3 linked regions of the Caenorhabditis elegans genome follow. The protein of the gene in region 1 purifies or fractionates together with the protein of each later gene. This does not show direct contact. Each region holds a gene or a part of one and is shown in the gene's direction. Other genes may lie near its edges.

What was found.
Region 2: the proteins of rsu-1 (region 1) and F19C6.3 fractionate together in Caenorhabditis elegans (co-fractionation; one large-scale study listed by BioGRID). This does not show direct contact.
Region 3: the proteins of rsu-1 (region 1) and utx-1 fractionate together in Caenorhabditis elegans (co-fractionation; one large-scale study listed by BioGRID). This does not show direct contact.

What each region holds. Positions count from the first base shown.
Region 1 is NC_003281.10:3,469,869-3,474,271, forward strand, and holds rsu-1 (Ras suppressor protein 1), read left to right. Parts: upstream 1-2,134; 5' UTR 2,135-2,140; coding exon 2,141-2,228; intron 2,229-2,694; coding exon 2,695-2,783; intron 2,784-2,839; coding exon 2,840-3,041; intron 3,042-3,221; coding exon 3,222-3,490; intron 3,491-3,541; coding exon 3,542-3,700; 3' UTR 3,701-3,851; downstream 3,852-4,403. Other genes in the region: C34C12.9 (uncharacterized protein), read right to left, coding at 4,387-4,403.
Region 2 is NC_003284.9:10,004,370-10,010,732, reverse strand, and holds F19C6.3 (VWFC domain-containing protein), read left to right. Parts: upstream 1-1,968; 5' UTR 1,969-1,977; coding exon 1,978-2,190; intron 2,191-2,540; coding exon 2,541-2,737; intron 2,738-2,779; coding exon 2,780-2,945; intron 2,946-3,213; coding exon 3,214-3,288; intron 3,289-3,449; coding exon 3,450-3,520; intron 3,521-3,567; coding exon 3,568-3,664; intron 3,665-3,734; coding exon 3,735-3,841; intron 3,842-3,884; coding exon 3,885-4,056; intron 4,057-4,114; coding exon 4,115-4,186; intron 4,187-4,737; coding exon 4,738-4,857; 3' UTR 4,858-5,429; downstream 5,430-6,363. Other genes in the region: F19C6.2 (uncharacterized protein), read right to left, coding at 5,834-6,070.
Region 3 is NC_003284.9:8,555,325-8,563,657, forward strand, and holds utx-1 (JmjC domain-containing protein), read left to right. Parts: upstream 1-1,826; 5' UTR 1,827-1,855; coding exon 1,856-1,921; intron 1,922-1,973; coding exon 1,974-2,050; intron 2,051-2,103; coding exon 2,104-2,430; intron 2,431-2,479; coding exon 2,480-2,600; intron 2,601-2,932; coding exon 2,933-3,073; intron 3,074-3,127; coding exon 3,128-3,400; intron 3,401-3,516; coding exon 3,517-3,636; intron 3,637-3,780; coding exon 3,781-3,913; intron 3,914-4,604; coding exon 4,605-4,789; intron 4,790-4,836; coding exon 4,837-5,061; intron 5,062-5,489; coding exon 5,490-6,362; intron 6,363-6,417; coding exon 6,418-7,007; intron 7,008-7,055; coding exon 7,056-7,244; intron 7,245-7,428; coding exon 7,429-7,549; 3' UTR 7,550-7,911; downstream 7,912-8,333. Other genes in the region: dhhc-14 (Palmitoyltransferase), read left to right, coding at 401-571.

The sequences.
Region 1 (4,403 bases):
AAATATTGCTCAATGGGGAGAGATTGCGAGAGAAAACAGACAAAAAATCAGCTGGGAGACGACGGGTTGTGATGGGAAACCATGCACATTTTTCATGAATTTAATGACTTGAAGAAGTGAAAAAATAATGCTTTCAGAGCAAAAAATGGTGAAATTAGAATTTCGGCCAGTTTTTTGTTGTTTCCGGATTTTAGCCTAAATTGTGTTTTTTCTCTAAAAAATTACCAAAAAATGTTGCTGAAGAGTTGAAAAATTTTTGAGCATTATTACCCAATTTTGCGATTACGGTACCGGTACCAGGGTCTCGACACGACACATTTCTCTCAAATACATGTGACTTTAAATGTGTGCCTTTAAAGAGTACTGTAATTTTGAACTTTTGTTGTAGTTACGGAATTTTCATAGATTTTTTTGTAGTTTTTGTCACGAATTGTTAAAAATTTATTCGATTTCATTAAATAAATATATTTTTATTTAAAAAAAAAATTAAAATTGTTGAAAATTCTCTTTAAAGGCGTACACCTTTTTTGCAATTAATAAGAAAATTGTCGTGTCGAGCCCCGGGGCGCAAAAATCGCAAAATTTCACGTCTGGGTATTATAAAAATATAAAACCATTTTTTAGGCCGATAAATAATAATTAATCACCAAGTGTATCCTCCACACAGACTACAAAATAAGAAAAAGAGAACCTTTTGATCGGAAGCGGACACACATTCCGTATCTGTCGGGAGGGATAAACCGGTCTTTGATCTACTTTTTCTCGGGGATGTAATTCATTATAATTGACGACAACTGACAAGACTAATTAATTTACGAGCGTGTCGAAAATCGATAATTTTGATTATTTTTGGACATTAAAGCCTTTTTTCAGTCTAAAAATCGGTTTTTTGGCCAATTTTTAGAAAAAAAAAATTTCATTTTAAAAACTGACGTTGGCTGTTGGTTGGCAGGGAGGAAGAGACATCTTTTTTTGTTTATTTGGAATACTGTGAGAGAGAAAAGAGGGCTTAGAGATATTGATGACGTTTCATAAACGGATTTATGGGCACTGAACGGAAGGAAATTAATTTTTTTTTTTGCTTTTTTAAACTAAAAAGTGAAAAAAGAGAGAAAATGAAGCAAAAAAAAAAGACGACGAGACAATCGAAATGTTTACCTTTTTCTCTCTTTCTACTGAATTTTTTCTTATCGCTTTTTGCCATCTTAAGACAAAATGATTAAAAATAATTAAAAATCAATAAATGCTGCCTTCAGTAACCTTAAAGGCGCGCCTCAAGAACTTAAAATTAGTAGTAGTTCGTTGCGAGACCCATCACTTAGATTTTACTTGTGCCCCTTTAGAGGTGTACCAAAAGACGAACATTTTGAAGAAAAAATTTGTTTTTTTAGATTAAAAATAAGAAAAAAGGAAAAAAAAATTTGTGTAAATCTAATATCTAAAATTTTTTGATGCCGAAGATTAAAATTTAGAAATTTAAAATCTTTAAAAAATAGGAAAATCTAGAAAAAACACACAAAACCCAAACCTTTCAAAAAATAGAATTGATCGCAATATGGGCCCGAAAAAAATCAATCAATAAAAATGTAACCTTCTCCTCAAGGAGGATCCTCCTTCCGCCCATCGCTCAATGAACTTTTCACTGCTTCTCATCGTTCTCTTGGCAAACTGAAATGTCTCCAGCACCCTGCGTCTCTCCAACAGTGTAATACTCTCTCGCTGTACACACTTTCCTTTTCCCCCCATCTCACCCCACACACGTCCATTCCGCCTACGATTCGCTGTCATTTCTTCTTTTTCTTTCGTCTTTCGTCCCCTCTCTCAACAAATATATGTCTCTGTGTCTTTACAGGTTCATGTACTATCTCGTTGGAATCCCCTTGAATGGTATTCCAGCTGTGTTTCCTTTTTTTCCCATTTTTTTGCTAGTTCTTCCGCAATTATATTTAATAGAGGATTAGAAAGTGAGAAAGTGAAAAAGATCTTTGGAATTGCTATTTCTTCAAATTTTTGTGTCGATGCACCATGTCAAAGTATGAAAATAGTCATATTTAACACTGATTTTATCGTTTATCAACTCGCGAAGCACCATTTCCTATCCACAAAAAAAGGATGTAAAAAATTAAAATTTCAGGTAAAAATGCCAAAGGACAAGAAGAAAGACGAAGTGACAGAGGTTGAGCATGTCGATCGGAATATTTCGTCGTTTTCTCAAATTTCACATCTCAGTAAGCATTTTTTTGAGCTCTGCGCCACATTTGACGCGCAAATCTTCAATTATTCCATGGTTTCGTATGCATTAGAAATTGATCTGGCGGAGCAGCAGCTGTTGCTCTGTGCTCAGCTCCTCCGCGGGAAAATCGTAAATAGAATTTGCGCGTCAAATACGGTGCATTGGGTCTGTAGATCAAAATAAATGTGTTGCTTCTTAGGCTGAGGCTTAGGTTCAGGCTTGGGCTTAAGCTTAGGCTCAATCTTAGGCTTAGTCCTAGGCTTAGGCTCAGGCTGAGGGTTAAACTTAGGTTTAGGCGTAGGCGCAGGCGCAGGCGCTGGCTCAGGATTTGGCTTAGGCTTAGGCTCAATCTTAGGCTTATGTTAGGCTTAGGCTTACGCTTAGGCTTAGGCTTACGCTTAGGCTCAGACTTAAGCCTAAGCGGGATAAATTTTCGAAATCTTCCAAAAATTGAATTCCAGTCGATGCGGAAATCATCACTCGTCTCACTTTGAGCCACAACAAGCTCACTTCAGTACCACCAAATATTGCGGATTTGGTCAGTCTTCAGGTAAGCCAACCCTACATCAAGGTAATCTTCTTAATCCAATCTTTAAAAAATTGCAGTCCCTGAATTTGTGGAATAACCAAATCGAGGATCTACCTCCATCGATTTCATCTCTTCCAAAACTTCGAATTCTTAACGTCGGAATGAACAAGCTGTCGATTCTGCCACGTGGATTCGGATCCTTCCCAGAGCTGGAAATTCTTGATTTGACCTACAACAATTTGAGTGAACGATCATTGCCTGGAAACTTTTTCTTTATGCGTAAGTGGGGGAAAAATTGGAATTTTAAATTCTTGTTAGGACTGGAATAAGTTTGATCTACAATAAATGCGGGAACGTTTCGCCCAGAAAAATGTGATGTTGTACACTACATCAGTTAAAAAAGCTGAATCTGGGGCATCCGGTGTTCCCTTCTCCGAAAAAACCTCTCCCAATTTCCAGAAACCCTCCGCGCCTTGTACCTCGGAGACAATGATTTCGAAATGCTCCCCGGAGACGTCGAAAATCTTACAAATTTGCAAATCCTCGTGCTCCGTGAAAACGATTTGCTCACTCTTCCAAAAGAGCTGGGAAAGCTGACACGTCTCCGTGAGCTTCATATTCAGGGAAATCGTCTGGCTATGATTCCACCAGAGCTCGGAAATTTGGAGTTGGTCGGGTCAAAGCAGGTGCTCAGATTGGAGCACAATCCATTTATTCCGAGAATTGAGGTACATATATATTTTATTTATTTTTTATTTAAAAATTTTCTGTGATTTTAGGAGCAATTCGAGGCCAACGGAGCCGCCGGAGTCTGGGCTCACATCAGAACTGACGACTATCGATATTTCTTCGGTCGTCAGGAACCATCGTCAACTCCAGTTCCACCAAAAAGAAATAAGGAGAAGAAAGTATCGAGAAAAGGAATTCAACAAGCCTAAAATTGCCATTTCAACCCAAAAAATTTTTTGACCTACTCATGGTGCTGCCTAAATAATGCTTTACTTTGTTCAATATTGAATTGAATTCAATCATTTAATTGTGCCTTTTTACACTGCAAATAAGAAATACTAATAAAATTCTATCGAGACAAAAATCATCATTTTATTCAAAAATTATGCAAAAACTTGTTTGGATTTTGCGTTGGTCAGCAGAGAATTCATGGTAAGACTAGATTATGTAATAAAAAATTAATAAAATTATGCGTGATAGGAAGGGGAATTGGGGAACCAAAATATGACAGAAGCCAGGAAAACCAGTAAAGGGAATTTTTAACAAATTGAAAAATAATCGAAACATAATAATATTAGCAGAATTATTGTGTCTTTGATAGTTTTCGGTGCAATACTGGTGTCAGACTGCCCCATTACGGTTTGACCTACAAAAAATGCGGGAATTTTTGCATGACGGCAGCACGTCCTCTAATCATGCAAAATCAGTTGAGAACTCTACTCCCGCATTTTTTGTAGATCTTCGTAGATCAAACCGAAATGGGACATTCTGACTACTCGGCCACTGGGATGAATTAATTATGACAGCCGTCATTGGCACCAGTCACGATGCACCATATCTTACGCGCAAATTCAAAACTTCACCAGTACCTATTAAACACACAATAAAATAGATCCTAATGTTTAAAAATCG
Region 2 (6,363 bases), on another chromosome or scaffold:
AGATGAAATCGGTGGACTCTGGAAAGGTTTGATAAAACATTGCGTGCAGTTTTGAAAGCTTGTTGTAATATTTCCGATGAATATTTTTAAAGTTCCGGTTTCAACCCTCTTCCGTATTGAGTTTAAATAATTGGTATAAGATGCAATATTATTTAAATTTTTTGCTTCACTTCATTTATTTTTGGTCAGAACCTTAATGTTTTCAAAGCTATTTCGATATATCATTCCATTTCAAAAATTTTGACGCAAAGAATAATTTGTTTCAGAAGCTGACAACCCAAAAATAAACCCACTCCCAAAAGATTTCATTAGTATTCAATGAGTAGTAAGTAAACCCTTCTTCTCTATTCAATACAGCTTTCAAAAATCTCATTTATTCTAGCACGCAAAAGTTTCCACAAGTTTTGTTCAAGATTTTTGTTCTTAGTTCTATTTTGTTCATATATAAATATTTTCGCAGTGGCTCATTCATATTCAGAGTTGCTTCTTTTTTCGGTTTTTTGGTTTTTCATTTATTCTGTTTTTATGAAAGGAATCTTTGACAAATCCATTTAGCACTGAAGTATCGAGACAGGCTACTAGAAAAAAAATTCGAGTGTCAAGGAGTTGTTCGAGCATATAAAAGCTTGAGAGGGTTCGTTCACAAATTTAATTTTCGCGAGTTTAAGAAGGAGTCTGTTCTATGTATCAACGAAAAATTGATTCCATTTTGTTCAAATGATTTTCTGAGTTTTCGTTTGCTTCAACTTTGTGTTGCCATTTCTGTTTTTAAATTGTTGTTGAATCTTTTTTTTTTTTGGAATTTTTAAAATAAAACAATGTGATGTAAAACAAAATAAAATTAATTTATAAACATTACTTCAAAATACCTCGCTTTCAGTAAACTTTTTCGAAATAAATTGAGAAAAAACTGTACATATTTAGTTTAAATTAATGATCATAATCATATCAAATACGTTTTCGATGTTACTTTTGTTGTTTGCGGTTGTAGCGGGTTGAAGACATTTAAAATAAATAAAAGCAACTTACTTCCGCAAGTGGTGACTTTGTCAAGCTTACAGAACTTAAGACTTTTTTTTTCTGAAATCTTCGGAAATATCTTTTTTTTAAGTCTTGAACCGTCATAACTTTTTTGATATATTTTTAGAACGTCTCATTACAATATTCTGAAGTATTCGGCTATTTTGGGTCTAAAAACAACGTATCAGATTTCGGTACTTCGCCTTTAAAATCTCTGAGAAACTTTGCTGAAAGTTTTAAACTGAAGTAAAATTAGTGTTACAATGTTACTTCCATTATCGAATGATTTTTCCTGTACCGATGCCTCAAAGTAGAAATTGTTTTTTCACAGAGCTTTAAAAATTTTGTTTTAAAGTTCGACCAAACAGAAAGCATTCTTGTAGAAACGCCTAACAACAGCCAGCCCACCTATTTTCCAGTTATCCGCTAAAACTTTAGTGAAATCAAGTTGTATCAATTAGTCAACTACTGTTCCAACTACTCGCCATTTCCTCTGTTGTTCCCAACAATTCACTATTTTTCAATGCCCCAAGATTTGATTTCACGCCTTCACTCAGACATCGCCGCCCCATGTGATACAACATCCGCAGACATCTGGGGAGCACCATGAAAAACTTCTCGGACCCCCCCCCCCCCCCCCCTCCCGAACTCTGCTATACATCTTTTTCTATCTTTTTTCGCAACTTTTCTTTTTTTGGACAGGGAGTGGGCGGGGGCTAGGAGTAACATTGTTCTTTACTCATTCCCATTAAGATATTTATTTGTGGTATTTACTTCTATTTCAGTTTCAAACGTTCTAAATTTTTCCGGCTTACTATTCACATATTGGTTTGTTTTTTTTCTCACGAAATATTTAATTATATGCTGAGCTACCTTGTTATTTATTTTTACTATCATCCTGATCTCGTTTCGTTATTATTTTCATAACTGATAGAATTTCTTATTTTCAGGTTTAAAATGTGGGCTCATCACTTAATAATTCCACTGGTATTAATTTCCGTTAGTCACGGTCATATTGATCGAAGTTCTTATATACTTGCTCATTATATGAACCTTCTGTCAATTGGAGAATCTTGGATTCTCACTAATTTTGATCTCGATTCGAATGGAACGTTTTTCCTGGCACAAAACTCCGAAAGACGAATAGAATTTGGGTTCAAGAATAAGACGGTGAGTTTTTTGTGTTTTGTTATTTTGTAACGTTTTTCCTTGAGCAAAAGTTGAAAAAAAAACCAAGTTTTGATGTTAACTCTGCCTTCCAATTATTATAGTGCCAACTAACCATTTGATCTTAAGACTGGTGTAGCTTCAGTTGGGATATTGTTAAAAATCATTTCAACAGTGCCAAAATGACCAAAAATAATAATAAAACCTTCAAAATATGTTTGCAACATCTTTTTTGACTACCTTCAATGAATAATAGTTAATTTGTGTTCTTACTCATTTTCTAGTTAGATAAAAATCTTAAAGATTGGAATTTAGAGAATCTTCTCCCATTCAGAAATTATTAGTTTTTACAGCTTTACATGGTGCTTCCAATAAGCAAAAGCCGAATACAGTCTAACAACTGGGAAAAGCGATATGTAATCGACTTTGATAGTATTGGAAAAATTGGACGAAATCTAGAATTGATCATAACTTTTCAAAATAATCACATTCATGTTTACAATGGTTGTGATGAAGTTTATTCTGATTTTGAGCCGCATTTGCAGCTAACGTAAGTTCAACTTTTCACAATAGTTTTAATTTTTGCATTCAGATTGAACCATCCATCGCTTCATATTGTCGATAACTGGAAAGGTCCAGAACCGACACAGTTTTTAATAGGATCTGGTTGGCCTATAGGTCAGAAGTGTAAACATGACGGTGTCAAAAAGAAATACGCGGATGCATACACCGAGAAAATAGAAAGAAATTACGAACCGGTGAGAGAAACATTCAAAGTTAATGGTTCTTGGTCATCACTTTCCCACGATCGCTGCATTTCATATATTTAATTTTCTGCATCTCTCTCTTTTTAAATACGTTTCTTTTAATTTCAATCAAATGCTAATTTATTCTACTATTTCGTCACATTCAACGTTTAGAGTGGCAAATGACGGAAAGTAGTAGGTTTTAATTGATTAAAAACCAGCATTGAACTGAGATGGACACGTGGACGAAACTAGTTTTCGTGATAATATTTGTTTTCAGAGTGCAATCGACGCTATCAATGAGATATTTTTTGAAACAGTTGTTCAAGTCCCACCAGGATTCGATGGTTGTAAGGTAAGCCTATAATTGTTTTTTTTGTAGTGTACAAGAGTTACAGTTCAGATATTTGATCGGAGCACACATAAACAGTTTTAATTTGTGATAAACTGTTTTTTAATTTGCAATTAAATTAAAACTAAAGCATAATACGTCTAAATCGATTAACTTTGATTCAGATCAATAATGCTCTTCTCAACATCAATGAAACAAAAACTGTCAATTGCAATACGTGTACTTGTGTAGATAGGTATTTCATTATTCATAATCCCAACTTCCCCAAAATTGATTTTTCAGGGATAATGTAGTTTGTCAAGCAGTGGATTGTCCAGCTGTCACCTGCACCCATCCGATGATACGAAAAGATGATTGTTGCCCGAGTTGTGGTGAACAGGTGAGAAGGCACAAACCGAAACCAAAGAGCACTTCAGTGATACGAAAGAAGATCTTTTAAAATTTTTCAGTGTTTTTACGAAAGTCACAAAATTGCAAACCCTCATGGAGAAGTTTTCTGGCCAGGAGACTGCTACAGGTGTCAATGTTGGGATAAAAAAGTTCACTGTTCATCCGAGTAAGAAAACGTTTTGTTGTGACGACATCAATTTCAAATTTAGATATGCAACATGTGAGCCTCCGAGTTGTCCGGAAGAAGATTGGGTTTACAATGAAAAATTCAATTGCTGCCCAAAATGTCGCGATTTTGCACGTTTCTGTGCAGTGAAACCGTGTCACAAATACGCTACATGCACAGATTCAAAACGTGGGCCAAAATGCTCATGCGACACGGTAAGCTGCTTCCAAATATTTTCCCAGAGGACATCTCTCGATGTGATCATCATTTCAGGGCTTCCAAGGAAATGGCACGTATTGCGAAGACATTGACGAGTGCTCCTTCTCGCAAGACGCCAAGGAACAGGTTTGTCGTTATTCCTCTGACTATTTTATCCGATAGCCAGTGGTCCCTCGAGGCTAAATAGATTTTTTCTTTTTGTCTATTCGTTTTGTGTAGAAGGTGAAAGACGAAAAAAAAAATAAGAAAAAAAGAACAAACAACTCCCAAAACAAAAAAGGATAACAATGAATAACGAGCCCTTGGAGAAATAGCTCAAATTTCGTAATCCTTATTGTTAATATTTTAAATTTTTGGGGAGTGAGAATTGTTATATGTATATACGAATTATCATAAAATTGAATGTTTGGTATCAATCTGATATAATTTTAGACGCACTTTTCCAATCATTGCTATTGCGTTTATGTTATCATCAAATTCAAAAAGTGAAAAAGCCAAATACATCAATGTTATATATGTTTTTAACCATCGTGCTTTTGTTTTGACTGAAATCAATTGAAAAATATAAACAAAGTAGTGGCCCTATTTCAGTGTTTTGTCTTGGAAAAAGCAAGTGTGGAAATAAATTGCTAGAACACTCACTAATTTTGATGAAATAATGAAGTAAATTTTTACAGCTTGGCGGCTGTCTCTCAGGTTCAACCTGTCGAAACGTACCAGGAAGTTACAAATGCGACTGTCTGCCTGGTTATCAAATGATCGGAGAAAATACATGTCTCCTATTAATCCGTGTGTAGTTAATCTTTTCATTCATCGGCTGAGAAGATTGCCCGTGTAGTGTATCTTGTTCGAATATCACCCTATCCTCTGATAGTGGCGCCAAATACGTGTAACTTATCTGTAGAAAAAATCTGCCTTTTTTCAAATTTGTTATGTTTTTTCTTCATTATAATGTAATTACATTATGAGAGAATATTGGAGTTCCTGGTTTTCCGTTTGGTTTGCATTGTTTTTTGTCACTTCATTGTTGTTTTTAATTGTAGATCACTTCGTTTTGGGCACATTTTGATAAGGATAAATTAATCCAAGCCAGAAATTTGAAACTTAAAGTTTCTGATCGTTTGTTCTCTCAATCTTGATTTAGATAAATGTAGCCATACTTTTTCCGTGACTTCAACTTCAATAATCCAATTTCGCTCTTAATTTAATTGCAAACTTTTTTCATTTCATGTGTAGCATGTAGAGTGCCAAAACACTTACCAAATCTCGGGGAAACATTTTTAATTCACTAATAAACGTGACATTGTCAAGAAAATTAAATTTATCTTTGAATACAATGTAAAAATAAAGATTGAAGATTTTTAAAAAAGCATTAAAATGACAATACCAAAAACTACCACGCATCTAAAATACAACTGGGTGACGGATGAAAGTGCAGACAGGAAAAGAAAACATAAAATGAGTAGAGTGAGCTTGATTGAATTAGTAAAATGAAAGCAAAAGTTGACATCGGAAAGTTTTTCATATTTGGAAGACACATTGTGAAAGAAGTAGTAATTTTTGAAAGAAATTAAGGCATCAAGAGGTATCTTGAAATTTGAAATTGCATAGTCTTTAAATATCAGTATAAAAGGCAAATATTGTACATGTTTTGATATAATGAATTAAATAAATTCTTGTGAATGATTTAAAAATGACATAAAGCACTAAAATATGATTGAATCGAATTTTCAAAAAGTTTAGGATTTTGGTCCTATTAATAAAAGTTTGAAATTAGATATCATCAAAATCTTCAATATCTTCGGCGTTGGCAATTGGTGGAGCTGCACGGAGCATATCCGCAACGTCAATTTCTTCATCATCTGAAACAGTTGGCAACCTCTCCGTCACTTTGATTCCTAATCTCGCCTTGTTCTTATTTTTCATTTCTTCAAGGATCTTCTTGCGTGGTTTTGCCATGAACAGTTCCAAATCTTCTTCTTCTCCAAGAGAGTATTCATCCGAAGATGCCTGCAATCAACAGAAAATGATGTTAAATTGTAAAGTGAATTTGATTATAGCCGATTTTAGGTTTGATGCTGATGTGGGATATGAGATCAGAAAAGTCCAAATATCTTTTTTGAGATCGCGTCATTTTTGAGGTTACGGGGTGAAACAGGATTCAATTTTAGATTCTTTTTACTTAAAATTTTTTACTTAATTTTTACTTAAAAGCATTGAGATAGTTTCTTAGTTCTGCGTCCTCAAAGATTGATTTCTAAGTTTTACTTTTTATTCAACTTGGAAAAATTTGCTTAATAAGT
Region 3 (8,333 bases), on another chromosome or scaffold:
AGGCAAATATTTTTCCTATTAGTATTGTATGCAATACTATTTTTGATAGTTTAAATTTAGTTCGAGATTACCTATTTTCAAATGAAACAGCTATTGTGTTAGGTGACGATTTAAAAAAAGTTGTTAAAAATAAATTAATTATTGACGTTTTTTTTGTTAATTGGTTGTTAGGAGTTTTATTATACATAGAAGACAATTGAACTGCAAATAATGAAAATCTTTGAAATTGGCATTTCCAACAAAATTAGGATTGCTAGAGACTTGAACACAAATTTTCGTGGACACATTTAAATGCGTTATTGATAGCAACAGCCACATTACTAATAGAGAACATTCGGTAATTCAATTTTAGAAATTATTCATTCTTGTTACAAAAAATTAAATACAATAATTATTATAGATCTCGCAAGGAGTGACGACCAACGATCGTATCAAAGCTCGCCGAGCTGGTCATGCCCATTCTCACTCCGGCTCCACTGACTACAATGTTATTCATCACAAGCCAAGCATCTCGAAACGGTGTCATAATCTTCTGGAATTCTTTTCCTCTAACGGCGATCCAAACTGGTGAAAATACAAATTCGGATTTTATCTTCATCGGACCTGAAAAACTTGCCCTGCTCCCCGGATTTTTCAAACTTGAGAATCAAAACTTTTCTATGGCATAACAAATCTATCAATAAAAAACAAAATACTTGTAAATGTGAATCAGAAACCTAAATTTAAATTTCATCCCCGCCCATTCCCCCATTCACAATCTACTCTTTTTCATTTTCTTTCAGTTTTACATGAGATACTTCACTTGTATAATTTGGTTGTGAAAAGATTTTAAATGCTCTCTATCTCCCTTTTTCCCTCTTTCATTTCCTTTTTTGTTAAACTTTTTGTACATTCCGGTTAGAATCAAGTGCTTGGAGATATTTGAAGTTTTCCATCAGTTTTCTTACTTTGCTCTTCTCTCTTGCGTATTTCCGAGATCTCTTTTTCTTTACTGTTTTCCTAGATGTAAATAAATTTTCTTGAAATTAAACAAGAACTCAGTTTGTGTTGTCCAAAATCTTGGATTGTAACTTTTTTTTCCAGCGGTCTTCCTGTTGTTAATCTCAAAAAGCTCAGGTTTTAAAGTAATAACTTCTACAACAAGATCCACAATAATGTACTGGTTGCTCTCAAACAAAGTGGATCAAAAACTTAATGTGAAAAAGACATTTCAAAAAACTATAAAGATACCAAAGTTCTATTACTATTGGCAATATTGTTCAAGATTTGTGTTAGTTTTTTATTTACATATTTTTGAAGAATAAAGCAGAGTAGCTTGACAATATTCTTAGCATGGAATTTTTCATAACTCATGTTCTCTCGATTTTACAAATTTCTGAATGAGATTCAGTTCCACTTTGTGCGGTATTGCGAAATCTGCATATATTCACCCTTTCCACAAATTGCCCCCTGACGACCCCAATCCATACTTGCGCACACCATCGACCCACTCCTTGTCCGCCCAAGCGTTTCTAACCGTCTGCGCGTCCGTATACCGAGCACTACCTCTCCATTTCCCCCTCCACCATTCGCCAAACAGGCACAGTAGAGACGGGCTGCGAACGCACGGCAATGGCAACGATACTCCGTTTCTAACGTTGATCTTTGTTTAATAAACCATACTATTTGAATTAAGACACAGTATTGACCAGTTCACAGTGCTCTAATTGATTTTTTGTGCTTATTTTCTTTGTCAAAACTTGATTAAGATTTCTCCAAGTTATGTTTCCTACAATTCTCTTATGTGTATGTATTTTATTATTACTAAATCGCTGCAGTTTTTCCAGATTTGTATAATTCCCAAAAAGTCTTGTGCATGAACACCGTATCGCTTCTCACACCGCCAATGGACGAATCAGAACCTCTGCCGGAGGAGCGTCATGTAAGGATTACTTGTTTTTAGTGCGCAAAAGTTAAATTTTCTCATTTTTCAGCCTGGAAACTTTAAAAAATGGCTGGAACTGCCCCTTCTGACAAATTATGAACTGGAAAGGATTCGCACATTAAGCAGGTTGAAAAATTGTCACAAGATTGCAATAAAGTAAATATTTTTTTAATTTTCAGTTTATCATTCGACGAGTTTCACGTTCAAAACCCAGCCGATCTCACTTATCAAGTCAGATTGTTCTTTGCAAAAGCCCGCCAATACCTTGTCAGATATGTGGATGAGATGAAGAGCATTTATAAAACGCACAAGTACAAGACAATCGAACGGCGCATTTTCTACGGATTGGCGAAACAGTGTCACGTTGTTCTTTTGGCAAATGATTGGACCGGAGCACTGGAGCTTTATCAAGAAGTGTTGAGCCATCATCCTGACCTATTCTCACATGATCCTTCGATGTACTTCGGGTTAGGTCTTGTCTACTTGCATTTCAAACAGTGGAAACCGTGAGTTTTTGTTTTTTTGTTGTGAATAATCTGAAACAAAATCTTCTAGTGCAATCGAGGCATTCACAAGACTGCTATATAGTTTTCCAACCGGTATGATCGCATTGCAAGCAAAAGTTCGTCTTGGAGTGTGTTACATGGAACTTGAAGATTACAACAGATGCATAAATGTAAGTATTAAGAAAACGATCTGAAAAAGTTATAAGTTGAGACATAAAAAAAACAAGTTTTAATTGCATTCAATGCGTTATTAAAATTTGTAGTGTTTCTACAATCTTTCTTAATTAAACTTTTGGTAAGTCTTACCATCAGCTTTCTCGAGCAAACTGGCAGTTTTCCCACAACTAGTTGTGGAAAATTAGCTAGATACTCTACAAAGCTAGATCAAAAGACCGAGAATACGCATGCTTTTGCAATAAAAAGCTATACTCCAGAAACTTTACAATGCGTAAAATTTCGTAAAATCTTTTCAGTTATTTAATAAACTTATTATATTTTACAGCTGTTCAAACTTGCCGTCAACGACAGTGATGAGTCAGTATTTATGCCGAAATTCACAATTAAGTACAACATTGCTCTGAGCCACGAGAATAATGATGAGCTTGAAATTGCAGAATCAGAATATGAAAACCTAATAACTGAAGTGAGTAGTATCACCAAACAATGTTAAAAACAAAAAAAAATCGAATAATTTCAGTTAACACAACACATCAGTTTCTTACAAAGCAAGTCGAATGTGGATCAACAACAAGTTGACTTATTGATAAGTGTGAAAGCAGCATGTTTGCGACAAATTGGCTGGATTTCATATCGCCGCTCTTATAAAGACGATGCAAATCGTCTGGATCATTTGAAGAAGGCCCAAGAGAATCTCATTAGTGCACATGATACAGATCCACGAGATGGACAAAGCTACTACTATCTGGGACGAGTCTACGGGGAACACGAGCCTAGTGTTAGTGGACAAGTGGTTTGTGTTCATTTTGTTCCTTAACAATCTTAAAAAATAACTTGTTTTATTTCTATTAACCTCTAATTTTCAAAAAAAAACGTTAGGAAAATAATTTAATTCTTCCTGAATTTAAGGCACACGATGCGTTTGTCAACTACCGGTTTTCGATTGACAAAAAAGAGCAGAATGCGGACACGTGGTGCTCAATTGGAGCTCTGTATCAGCGACAAAATCAACCCATTGATGCTCTTCAGGTATGTTCAGGAATCAAAATTAGAGTTTTTGGAAACAATGTGCACAGTGTGCAAGATCAGAGCAATTCTCAAAACAATGGCGTATGCCCACCCCAATCTTTCCAATAAATGCCTCCAATTTTTAATATATTGAACACGTTTTAGGCATTCATATGTGCAATTGAGCTGAATTCAACACATTCTGCGGCATGGACAGATCTCGGAGAGCTTTATGAGAAAAATGCCCAGTACCAAGATGCGCTGGAGTGTTTCAAAAATGCAATGCTGAACAATCCAGGTATGTTGATGGTTTCCTGAAAGAAAAAGTAGAAGAATATAAATAAATTATAACTTTTCTGGAAAAACCAAATTGAAATTTCTATCAAAAAATGTTGTGAATGAATCAGTTTCAATATGATTTTCTTCATTTCTTATCAGCCAATGATACTTGCCTGTCTATAGTAGAATGGGTGTCGCTAAATTTGCTATCGCCAAACATTGAATGTAAACTTAAACGAAAATATAAGAGAAATGAAAGGATATAACAGAAGCACAACTAATCTGCTTAATCTCTAGTCACCAGATAAAATTTCCACGTGATTGGAAAATATATTTAAAGGAAGTATGACAACATTTATGACAACGACTGAAAAATGTTTAAGAAAAAAACCAAGTTGTTTCAATTGTAATGGTCTTTTCTAAGAAAGCTCTGATAACAAACAACATTCATTTTGAAATTAGCAATACACACTGTAAGTGTTTCCAAGTTGAAAATGTTTAATAAAATAGAAGACGTGACAAATGAAACGCAGTATCCATTAAAAAGAGAAACAATATATTTCATTGCAGTTTTGAGTTTTTCAAGTTTTAGGAAGGTGAGCTTGTAAATGTAGGTTAAATGTAAAGCTAGAGGCTGTTTTGAGTGAGTAGTAGTAATTAACGATTTCAGATTTTTTAAAGAACAAACTAATGTTATCATGACATTTCAGTTGCTCCGGAACCAATCAAAGCTCGTGTACAATTTCTTGAAAAAGAACTCTCGATGCCTGTGCCCGCACGTCCCTCAAATCACGCCTCGTCATCAACATTTGAAACCGTGATACCTTCATTGAAAGAAGCTTATGAGCAGCCAATACCTCTAGAGCTTCGTAATCGTCAAGACGCTGCCTATGCTGTAAGTGATTGTTGTCATGTGCGTTTTTTTGAAACCACAATTTTTAGGACAGAGAAGCTCAGTATGACAACGCGTTTTGGGATCTTTGGGAAGATTTCAGAACAATGGAGCATGAAAAGCCGGAAGATATGGAATGGGATGTAACGTATCCAAGGCCAATGGAAGATCTCGAAATCCAGGTTATGCAGTTGCTTCGTGCCAACGAACCAGCTTTAGTAAAAGCTGAGAGAGAAGTTCTTGAGTGTTTGGAAACCAGCGAGGCAGTGTTTAAGGTAATAAGAGCTCAAATAGCTGACAAACACAGGCCAGTGAAAAATGCGAGCAAAAAAGGCCAAACACGGCTTAGAAGTCATACTCTTTTCATTAGTGTATGATAGCTATACATTTATGCCAGTACATCAAGGGAAGTGATGATGCAGTTGCTGCCAGGGCGGCCGCCAGTGTTGCTTCTAACATTAAAAAAGGAAAAAAACGAGAGAATTTCATAGCGTATCTGTTGCACAAATCTCTTGAGTAGACGCAATGAGCCTAATTATAAAGCTTTTCTATGTTCTATTGTCGCATGTAAAATATATTCTGAATAACTGAAGCGTGATCAGAACTGAAAGTTAAAGTTGTGACTCACTTTTTCTGTAATCTGAAACATTTGAAAACCATAGGGATTATTAAATGGTTTATTGAAAAACATTAAATTTTTCAGGCAAAAGTTATTGAATACGTAATTCCGGAAGCCGTTCGTGAAATGCCACGTGTCACCGAGGAAATGATCCAAAACCTTCGCGACCATGGGCATCTACTTGAATCGCCGAGATGCTACAGCTTCCCATTCTTACCGAAAATTTCGTTTAATGACCTTCCGGATAGTTTCAGTTTGCTCTCGGAGCTCTATGTTTCAATGGATATCAGCGCTCAGGAAATTATGCAAATGGTTCATAGAAGAACTCAGCCAAACTCCACATACCTACCAGTGTTTGAAGAATTTGCGAAGTTACCCGAGCCACCACGAGGTCCCGTAAAGCCAATTGTAACAGATGAAGATGTACGCACGGCGCTAGAAAGGAGTGAAAAGCATCCATTAATTCTTAAAACCCCAATTCTTACGGTGGACAATAGGAAGGAAGCTCAAAGTCTGGAATTACAACGGTTTTTGGATGGGTCTACTATTTCTTGTATTCGTGGACTTACTGGTTGCCTTCGCCTCGATTTGTCGCTATTCTCCACGAAAGCAGTGGCAGAAATTGACGGAAACCAAGAAATTGAAATCCGAACTCAGTATCAACTACCACCAGAAACGAACTGTGATCATGCAAGTCAACAGACATGGCAATGTGTCAGTGATCCCTCGTACACAACAGTCAACAAGTATGCCGAGTATCAATCGGAATCGTTCAAGCACACGCTAAAGGGTGAAGCTGAGAAAATCAAGAAAAATGTGGGAGGAACACGTGGACCTTCTCCTAAAAGAATGAAATTGTATAAGCGAGCCAGCTCTCCACCGAAACATCTGAAGTCTATTAAATATGGAACTAATATTGATTTATCTGATGACACTAAATGGGGAAAACAGATCAACGTAAGTTTTTTTATTGCTCCATATTTTAAAACCAAACACAACTGCCGTTTTTCAGGAACTTTCTAAACTTCCTGCTTTTTGTCGCCTCATCGCCGGCTCAAACATGCTCTCCCACTTGGGGCACCAAGTTCACGGCATGAATACTGTTAAGCTTTTCATGAAAGTTCCTGGCTGCAGAACACCAGCTCATCAGGATAGCAATCACATGGCTTCCATCAACATAAACATTGGTCCCGGTGACTGTGAATGGTTTGCCGTTCCATACGAGTATTGGGGAAAGATGCATAAGTTGTGCGAGAAGAATGGCGTTGATCTTTTGACTGGAACATTTTGGCCTATTATCGATGACTTATTAGATGCAGGAATTCCAGTGCACCGTTTCACACAGAAGGCTGGAGACATGGTATATGTGAGTGGCGGAGCCATTCATTGGGTACAAGCTTCGGGATGGTGCAACAACATTTCTTGGAATGTGGCGCCACTCAACTTTCAACAGTTGAGCATCTCTTTGCTCAGCTACGAATACAACAAGCTGCGCCGATTTAAGAGTGAAGTTCCAATGCAATTAATGTGCTGGCAAGTAGCAAAGAATGTCAAGTTTACCAACCAGCTCATCTACAATACTTGCAAAGGTGTATTGATTAGGTGAGTAGCCTAAGAAGAACAATCAAGTTTGTAATAACTTTATTTCAGATCACTTGCATTCCTGAGAATGGTTGCCGATTATATCGTGTCTCAGAAGAAAACCATAAAAGCTCATACTCGAACAAGTGGAGAACAATCCCATTTCTGTATGACGTGCGAGTGTGAAGTGTTTTGTATTTTGTTCGTGAAGGATATTGGCGGAAAGTTTACAGTCTTCTGTGTATACTGTGCTAAATCGTAAGTTTTCAAAATTTTTGAACGTTTTGGGCTTAGAAATGGTTATTTTTTATGCCTAAAAATACAAAAACATTCAACACGTGATTCTGTATATTTTTGAAAAGTTACTTTTAAAAAATACACAAGTACTTGCGGAACCTCACTCAGAATTATAGTGGTTCGAAAAGAAAATGTGATTTTTCAGGCAAGGAATCGAAGGCTTCATAGCTCTTCAGCAGTTCTCGTTCACCGACTTGTACTCAATCTACGACAACATGAAATATATACCCGCAGCTAACAACAATAAGATGAGTTTCACTGCCTAGAAAGTTCTAGTTAGGACGTTTTAATCATTGCATATTTTATTTCACAAACCTGTTCCACTTGATGTGCCTCTCTCCCTCACCCCAAACATTTCCCCGTTTCAATTTTTGGCGAAAGCTCAAAAGGTCTCGTTCACTTATCTCAATCTTCTCAATTAGTTCATTTGTGTCCCTCTTTCGATACACTTCCAAAACTGTGAAAACCCAAATTTTAAACTATTTCCTCAATTTATCTGATCTCCTGTTTATTGTTGAACTTTTTTTTCAAACTGACTGCCATGTTTTACAAAACGTGGGATTGTTAGCTCATGGATTGTTTTTTTATTTCGAGCTTTAATTTTTTCTAAATAAACTGTTGTTTTGATAAACGGAAGTTTTATTAGTATAGAGAAGGCAGTATCCGCATTTTTGTCAATCTTTTATATTGCGGTGACAGGAGCAGCGCAGTTTGACATGATCTGAAAAAAATCATACTGAAATAGTTTCACTTGTATTTTTAAAGTTTATATGGGTTTAAGTGTAAAACTAATTATCAATTATTCTTCAGAAGCGCAAACTTACTTTTCGAATTCCTGATAGCTCAGCAAAAACACATGAGTTTGGGTATGAAAACGTCATCAGATGCCGTTGAAAATTTGAACATACTGACTGATTAATAATTTTTTGCCGTTTTTTAATCGTCTAATTTTAATTTACCCCAAAATATAAGAAATGTTTTATTAAAGTTTAAAAACAAAAGTACGGAGCCCCTCATACATGCATATTCACCGTCTTCACGTTCTACAAT